2 linked regions of the Canis lupus familiaris genome follow. The protein of the gene in region 1 interacts with the protein of each later gene in a pairwise test. Links are inferred from orthologs where the notes say so. Each region holds a gene or a part of one and is shown on either strand. Other genes may lie near its edges.

Evidence for each region.
Region 2: the proteins of ERBB3 (region 1) and PPM1B interact in a two-hybrid assay, tested with the Homo sapiens proteins (2 studies listed by BioGRID and IntAct, with this or other methods). The link is inferred for Canis lupus familiaris from reciprocal best matches to the Homo sapiens genes ERBB3 and PPM1B.

Annotation. Positions count from the first base shown.
Region 1 is NC_049231.1:756,816-761,254, forward strand, and holds the start of ERBB3 (receptor tyrosine-protein kinase erbB-3), read left to right. Parts: upstream 1-1,536; 5' UTR 1,537-1,629; coding exon 1,630-1,711; intron 1,712-4,439. UniProt on the Homo sapiens protein: Tyrosine-protein kinase that plays an essential role as cell surface receptor for neuregulins.
Region 2 is NC_049231.1:47,722,081-47,725,888, forward strand, and holds the end of PPM1B (protein phosphatase 1B), read left to right. Parts: exon of another isoform or gene 1-2,401; intron 2,402-2,407; coding exon 2,408-2,713; 3' UTR 2,714-3,473; downstream 3,474-3,808.

The sequences.
Region 1 (4,439 bases):
CGTGACGCTCCCGCCGGGGGCGCAGCTCCTCCGCGGAGAGACCTCGGCTCCGGGAGGACCTGGAGCCCGGGCTGGGTCGGAGCCTCGTCCCGGCGGCCCCTGGAAGGGCTCTAGGCTCGGAGCAGAGGCCGCCCGCACGCTGAGCCCGCGGAGCTGCAGTCTCTGTGGCGGGAACCGGCGCAGCCCCGCGCTCCTGCGGATACGCCTGGCCCTGCGTCTCGGTGGACCCCCGCGCCGCCAGGCCCCACGTGCGGTGCTGCCGCCCACGGCACGTGCTTGGGCCCCGTGAAGCCTCGGCCTGGGTGGCAGATGAGGCGCTGTTTGGATTCGTTACCGTGTCGCTGCTGCGGGGTCGGGACCGTCCTGCAAGGACGAGGACAGGCCAGCGCCGGGGCCGGGGTGAGCCCCGCAGAGAGCGGGGGCCCGGGCGACAGCGATCCCGAGCAAGCTTAGAGCCTTAGGCGGGAGACTTAGTGACCGGAGGAAGCTTTCCTGGCCGAGGCGCTGGGGGTTGGGCTTGAGCCTCTGGGCGCCCGGGAGCCCCCGGGCGGGGGCGGGAACGCCGGCCTCGGGCTGTGAAATGCGCCCCCCCGGCGCCAGGGGGCGCGCGTGGGAGCTGCTGAGGGACCCGCCGGGCTCGGGGGCCGCGCGCCGGTGCCCACCCAGCCCCGGGCCAGGACCCGGGAGCGGCCGCCGGAGGTGGCGGGGGTCCGAGCCCCTCGTGGCCGCGGCCTCGGGCGCCCGCCTTGCGCCCCCCTTTGCAGCGCGAGCTCGGGCGTGCAAGGCGCCCGCGCGGGTGCGGATGCGGGTGCGGGTGCGCATTAAGGCGGCGGGGGCCGCGGCCGCCCCGACGGCGGGGACTCCCGGCCGCGATGGGAGGCAGCTGTTCTCCCAGGCGGCCGCGGGGGGCAGCAGAGGGGGCGCGACAGGTGCGGGAGCCCCTCCCGGGCTGGAAGGGAAAAGGCGGGCTTCGGGTCTGTTCCCAGGCTGGAGGCCGCCCCGCCCCCGCCCCCCAAATCCCCCGGAGAGGCCGGGCCGGCGCCGGGTCTGCGGGAGGAAGCGGCCGGAGACAGCGCGATTTCACGCGGCCTCGGGGCTCGGCTTCCAGGGCAGCGTGGACGGATTACGGGGCCGGAAGGGTCCCGGGGAAACCGAGGCGCCTGAGCGTGCGGCCCGCGCCTTCCTCACAAACACTCACGGAGAAAAACATTCACATTCAGGGAGCCCCCCCGCCCCGAGTGACCCAACCGGCTGGGGAAGTTGAGTGATCTGGTTAATGGGCGCGGCCAGCTTTCAGGGGCCGGGCTTCGAGGCGCCCTCCCCGCCCCCAGCACCTTTCCCCGTCGGAGGCGCTAGGGCGTCTGCAGTCCCGGCCGCCCCTCGGCCCGGCCCCCGGGAAGGTCCGGGCGCGACCCCGGCTCGGCTCGCGTGGCCCGGGGACGAGCCCCGGCTGCAGCGCCGCCCCCCTCCCCTGCCCGGCGGGCCCCCGCCCCGGCCCGGCTCCGATTGCGCTCCGCAGCCTCCCCGCCGCCGCTGCCGGTCGCTGGCGGCTCAGGTGGCCCCGCTCGGATGTCCTAGTCGGGGCCCCGGGCCGGATCCCGCGGGGCCGCCGCCGCCTCCGCGGGCGTCATGAGGGCGACGGCGCCGCTGCAGGTGCTGGGCTTCCTGCTCAGCTTGGTCCGCGCCTCCGACGTGGGCAACTCCCAGGCAGGTAAGCGGCGCGGGCGCCGGGGGGGGGGGGGGGGCCGGGCGGGGGCGGGGGGCGCTGGGACCACCCCGGCGGGGCGCTGCGGCGGGCTCGGGGCTCCCGACCCCCCACTTCTGATCTGCGTCGGGGTGGGGCCCCCCGGGACACCCCGCTCCCCTGGGCGCTGCGGGCGGGCTCGGCGCTCCCGACCCCCCACTTCTGATCTGCGTCGGGGTGGGGGCCCCCCGGGACACCCCGCTCCCCTGGGGAGCCCTGTGGGGACGGCCGTGGGGCCTCGGCTCCGCAAACGTGCGGCGGCAGTGAGGGGGGTGAGGTCCCGGAGAGTGGGGGTCCCGGCCTGTGAGCCCACCCCCTCCCTCGGTTTCGGCGCCTCCAGTTTCGTTGTTTTGCCGACAGGGCGGAGCTAGGGAGGGGTCGGAGGGGGTTGTTGTTTTCTACTCTTGGAAAAACAAGAGCCGCACCTCCTCTTCCGTGGACCTGCCCCGGGACGGGCGGAGGCGCACCTAAGGGCCAAGTACAGGTGACATCGGGGTGAGAGGCCACGCAGAGGCCGACCTCCCTCATTTCCTCAGGATAACCAAGCTGGCTGGTCCCCGGCTTGACCAACCTCTTGTTTTTTTTTTTTTTTTAATTAATTAATTTATTTATGAGAGAGAGAGAGAGAGAGAGAGAGAGGCAGAGACACAGGCAGAGGGAGAAGCAGGCTCCATGCACCGGGAGCCCGATGTGGGATTCGATCCCGGGTCTCCAGGATCTCGCCCTGGGCCAAAGGCAGGCGCCAAACCGCTGCGCCACCCAGGGATCCCCCAACCTCTTGTTTTTGTCAAGACCCAGATCAATTCAACTAATATTTATTGAACATCTACTACGCACAGGGTCTGGGCCAGGAGCTGTAGGGTTAGGGGCCTGCAGCCTGGACTTGTCTGTCTTTTCTCCCCCAACCCGAGACCAACAGGGCGCCTCTCCCACCTCCTGAGCTTCCAGTCTGGGAGTCCTTCCCGGACCCAGCTCCCCCCCCACCTACATTCTGCTTATTGTCTGACTCTGTCTCCTGGAGTCTAGACAACAGTCAAACTGCGCCTCTCTTCCTCCTCCCACTCCCATACCATCGGAGCCCACCCCCTTGGGGTGTCTCTGGGACCGTGGACACCTGAGGGTTCTGGTGTTGCTCGAATTGGAGGAATCCTGTTGATCTCTTCCCCTCCCCCAGACCTCAGCTTGGGATTTGGGAGGGCCAGGGCCTCTTCCCCAGAGTGGGAGTGGGAGAAACACCTGTGCTTCCCCCACAGTTGCTGGGCCTAAATTTAGACTTGGGATCTTGACTTTGAAACTCCCAGCTGGTGGGGGGGTGGAGTGGAGGGGGGGGTCTGGGGACTGGAGTGGGAGGGACCAAATAGAATGACTGGGTCACTGTCCCATCCAGACCCTTGGAATCTTCAACCAGGAACCCAGGAGTCCCAGATCCTGGCCACCTTCCCTTGGGGCGACAGGAGGCAGGCATGGTTGGGTTTCTTTACCCTTTATCTGGATCCTGCAGCCTCTGGGCATCCGGCCCTGTCTCAGTCCTTCTATAGTCCCTTTGTCCTGGCTGTGATGGGGGTGGGGGCTATTGGAGAGGAGGCCTCTGGTTGAGGAGGCAACGAAGATTCCTGGTCGACCCACCCCAGTGCTCTCTACCAAAGGAGTGCCAGGCCCCTCCCTAGGCCCCTGGTCCCCGGGTACAGTGGGGCTTTTCCTTACTCTCTTCCCCCTTCCCTCCTCCCCATGCTGCCTGTTCCTCCTTAGAGGTGGTTTTCACGCTCTCTTCCTGAGCAGGCCCTTTGCTCCCTGTTTGTGTAATATGGACTTTACCCTCAGGATGGCAGAGAACTGGGACCTCTAACCCTTTAGCCTTCCAGGCACAGACACAGAGTCTGCACAGACACCTAAGGCAGGTGGGATAGATGGGGCCACCTGAAATACTTCCTCATAAGGAACCCCGAGGACAGAACCAGTATAGATTTCTGGGCCAGCGGGGAGCGGTGTGCATGCTTGTCTGTGGGTGTGTGCGTGTGTGTCCCTCGTGCATGTGCACACACACACACATCACATACATATCCCACTTCTCCATGCAGAAATCTTGGCTCCTCCCTTATCTGGGGAGAGCGGTTGGCGCCTTGACTTGCAAGAGGGGGTGTCCTACCAGGAAAGGGTTTAGGGTGGGGCTGTTCCCTAAATGATTAACCTTCCTAGTTTCTTTACTTTCAGCCCCAGGACCCTAGAGTTCCCAGGCTCCTCTGGGAGCTCCCAGCCAGTTTACTCCTCTGCTGGGTCTAGCCCACCCCCTTCCTTCCCATTGTGGGGAGTGAAAGGGGATGGGAGCCCTCCAAAGTCCAGTGGTCAGACTAGGGGTGTATCTAGGAGGAGGGGTTGGAGCCTCACTAATCTCTCCTCCTCCGTTCCCACTCCCGCCTCCTACTAAACTGCCAGCGCCTCAGGGAAGGGTGGTGAGAACAGGTGGTGTCTACCCCCCACCCTCCCCCGGCCTCTGAGCGGAGGGGAGAGGGGTGGGGCTTCGGGGTCCCGCCTTTCCCTTAGCCCCTGTGTCCTCCATACTTAGAAGGGCAAGTGAACCCCCAAGACTGCCATGTTGCAAAGCTTTTTAATGAATCTTTTGACAATGAAATTGCGTGGAAGGCTTAGAATGGGGGGGGATCCTCTGCTGTTTCCCTCCAGGCTTGTCTGTATTTGC
Region 2 (3,808 bases), about 47 Mb from region 1:
CAGGATTGATAAACACTTCAGAATTTATTTCATTGTCATTGAAGGTTTTTGTTTTTGTTTTTTTGATAAAAAGGGGAGTTGTTGGTTTGAGTTGGAGAGGGCAGGAAGTGAGGTGGAAGAGTGTTTATGCCATCTATTAAAAGTTCTTTGTGATATACCGTAAAGTAGAAATTTTCCTTGTGGAAAACCTGATTAAAGACCAGTAAGGTTTATGATGAGCAAGCTTTTACCTCATTGCTCCATCTTATTAACCTTTCCTGAATAGAGTCAAATGAGAAACTTGATTTGGGGATGTGGGTTTATTTATTTAGCACAGAAGGAAAGGTAAGGGAGAAAAAGTCAGAAAAATCTTAACAGAAGAGCACATTTTATTGTTCTCTCCACATGATAAATTTTGCAAATTAAAAAAAAAAAAAGTTATTTGGGACACTTGGCTGGCTCAGTCCAAATAGCATAGACTCTTGATCTCAGGGTCGAGAGTTTGAGCCTCACGTTGGGTGTAGAGAGTACTCAAATAAATTAAACTTTTTTTTAATTTAAAAATTAAAAGTTACAGTTAATCTACATTAGGTAGAAAATTGGAGAACTCAAAGAAAATAAGGCAGGGGCGCCTGGGTGACTCAGTGGTTGAGCGTCTGCCTTTGGCTCAGGTCGTGATCCGTGATCCCGGGGTCTGGGATTGAGTCCAGCATCAGGCTCCCCATAGGGAGCCTGCTTCTCTCTCTGTCTGTCTCATGAATAAATGTGGTTATATTTGTGTTCCTTTTGTTTCTTTGTTGCTGAGTTGTAGGATAGCAGTCTACAGAAATGGTTAAGAGTTTGTGTCAGATCATCTATATCAGTAACCTTTTTGAGTTATTTTCCCAACATTTTATGATTAAGACTTCCAAATATCTAGAAAAGTTGAAACGATTGTAAGGAGCACCTATACACCTTCTGCCTAGATTCAACAATTGTTAACATTATACCGTACCATACTTGCTTTATCTCTCTTTATGTGTGTGTGAATATATATGCTACTCTTTTTTTTTTTTTTTTTCACTGAACCTTTTGATAGCAAACTGCAGACATTTTGGCATATTTTGGCATGCCACTCTTAAAAATGTGGACATTTCGAGGCGTCAGGCTGGCTTGGTTGGTAAAGCATGCAACTCCTGATCTTGGGGTCATGAGTTTAAGTCCCACATTGGGCGTAGAGCTTCCTTGGGAAAAAAAAAAAAGAGAACATCTTTCTACATAACCATAATATAATACTGTTATCATGCCAGTGAAAATTAAGAGTATCATCTAGTACCAAGTACAGATTTTCCCAGTTGTCTCTAGAATGACTGTGATAGTAGTTATTTTGAACGATGGTCTGGTCAGCCTGTTATCTAGCATATTAATGAAGTTTGTAATCAGGTCATTTTTTCTTCCCCTTGCCATTGAAAAAGAAGAGTCTGAGCCAGCTTTGCATATGATGTCCTACATCCTGGATCGTAGGATTTGTTTTGTGTCCTTTAATACCATCCTCTGCTCCCTATTTTCCTATAAATTGGGAATTTGCTTTATTAGATTTAAATTAAACATTTTTGGCAAGAACATAGGACATGGTTCTGCACTCCCTAATGAATCACATCAGGAGGCACACAATGTAAGGTTGTCTTGCTTTTAGACTGTCAGCTTAACTGTGATCAGCTTCGATGTTAGAGCTTGTTCTGCTAACAAGATTAAGTAGCTGCTGTTGTAGAAACCTCTAAGTTTTCCAAAATTTAACAAAATATAAAAAGATTAGGTAGTTTCCTGTTCATGTCTTATTATCATGTTTTAAATAATTTGATCTAAAAATGTTTTTATTAAGATATGTAAGAACAAAAAGTAAATAAAATTTTTACCCACAAAAGCATTAAAATTTCCCAAAAATCCAGTTTAAATTTATATAATTCTACATTTTGTATCTCTTTTCCTTACCTATCATTTAGTGGCAGGGATGAAGAAACTAATGTTCTAATGGCCTGCTTTTCTGTCCTTTCCTATTGCTTTAAACACTAATTTCCTTTTGTGCTAAATCATTCTAGACAATTACTGTTTTTTGTTTTTTGTTTTTTCTGTTAAGCAAGTCAGTTTTAGGAAATGCTTGTGTTGCTGTTGAATTCTAATAGTGGAGTAAATTTCAGAGGAAGCTTCAAATGCCAGTGTGAAATAAGATGTAAACTAGTTAATGGTAATTTGCTAAAATTAACTTGATATTTCAAGTGGAAACTTTTATTGACACAAGTAAGACTTGATACTTATTTAATGAAATGTTCTCATGCTTAGACTATATTACTCGTGATAGAGAAATGAGTGTTTTGCTGTGCTATGTTATGAAATACATGTGATATCCTAGTTTGTCTACTGACACTGGGGTCTTGAATCTCAAAAAAAGGCCTCCGAGGAAGCAGAGGAAAGTGGATCACAGGGAAAATTGGTGGAAGCTCTCAGGCAAATGAGAATTAATCATAGGGGAAACTACCGACAACTTCTGGAGGAGATGCTGACTAGTTACAGGCTAGCTAAAGTAGAGGGAGAAGAAAGCCCTGCTGAACCAGCTGCCACAGCTACTTCTTCGAACAGTGATGCTGGAAACCCAGTGACAATGCAGGAAAGCCATACTGAATCAAAAAGTGATCTTGCTGAATTAGACAGCTATAATGAAGATGCAGGGACAAAGATGAGTGGTAAACAAATATGACTTGACTTTGTGGTAATATTTTTGTGATCTTTGATTTGATGGTTTTTACTTAGGAAGTATAATGTATGCATTTATATAACCGTTTTTGTTATTTGAATCTTGGTAAACTAGTTTTATTACCTTCAGATAGCCTTGTTTTTTTAAGAAGGCCTTTGCATACACCTTTATCAGATAGTTTAAAATTGACTATTTATAGTACTTTGAATTTAATAAAATTCTATGTCATTTCATATTGTATGCCAGAAATGAGGCTACTAGTTATTCGAATCAGTAGTTAACTTCATATTAGATAAGATTAGAGATTACTGATAAGCAAGATGACATTATATTGTGGAAAAACTTGTAAATGTAGAATTCTGCTTCATATTATTTTACATATTAGTACACTCATAGTCAGCTTTGTAATAAATTTGTGTTTTCTTTAGTAACTTTAGTTCTTCAACGAATGGCAGATGCTGGCCTGTAATTTTTTTTTTCTTTCCAAGGATGATAATTTGTGTGTTCTTTGACTTGTTTATACTTTACATCTCTGTAGTTTTATTTTTAGAAGTTCTGAGTTGTTGGATGTGTGGTTATTTTCCTTTCTCTGTATTCTTTATTGAAACCTAATTTTTGAAAAACCTATGTATTATTGATACAGCTTTGGTTTGTACATTCTGTATAGCCTAACTACATACATCAAAATGTATGTCAACCACGTGTTTAGAATGAAATTATAAGTGTTCAAGTCCAAATAAAGCATGTGATGTGGAATAATCTATGCATGTTGTACTTATTTTGAAATTAAAAAAAATTTAAACAACCAGGTTTGGTATATTGGAAGAATACCCATTAGAAATTCATTTATATTGATAGAAAATGTAGAAAACTTTTGACTTGGCTTTTGTCATTAACAAAAGAAAACATTTTGAGAAGTCTTGCTTTCTCAAATCCATTGTTTCTTATCCCCTTTTTGTAATACAAAATATTCATCTGTGGCCAGTATAGACACACATAGTCATGTCAGAGACTTTCCATGATGAGCACATTAAAGATTGCAAGACCCGTCATCTTTGCTATAACTATTCATCAGATATTAAGAAATGCAAGAATTAC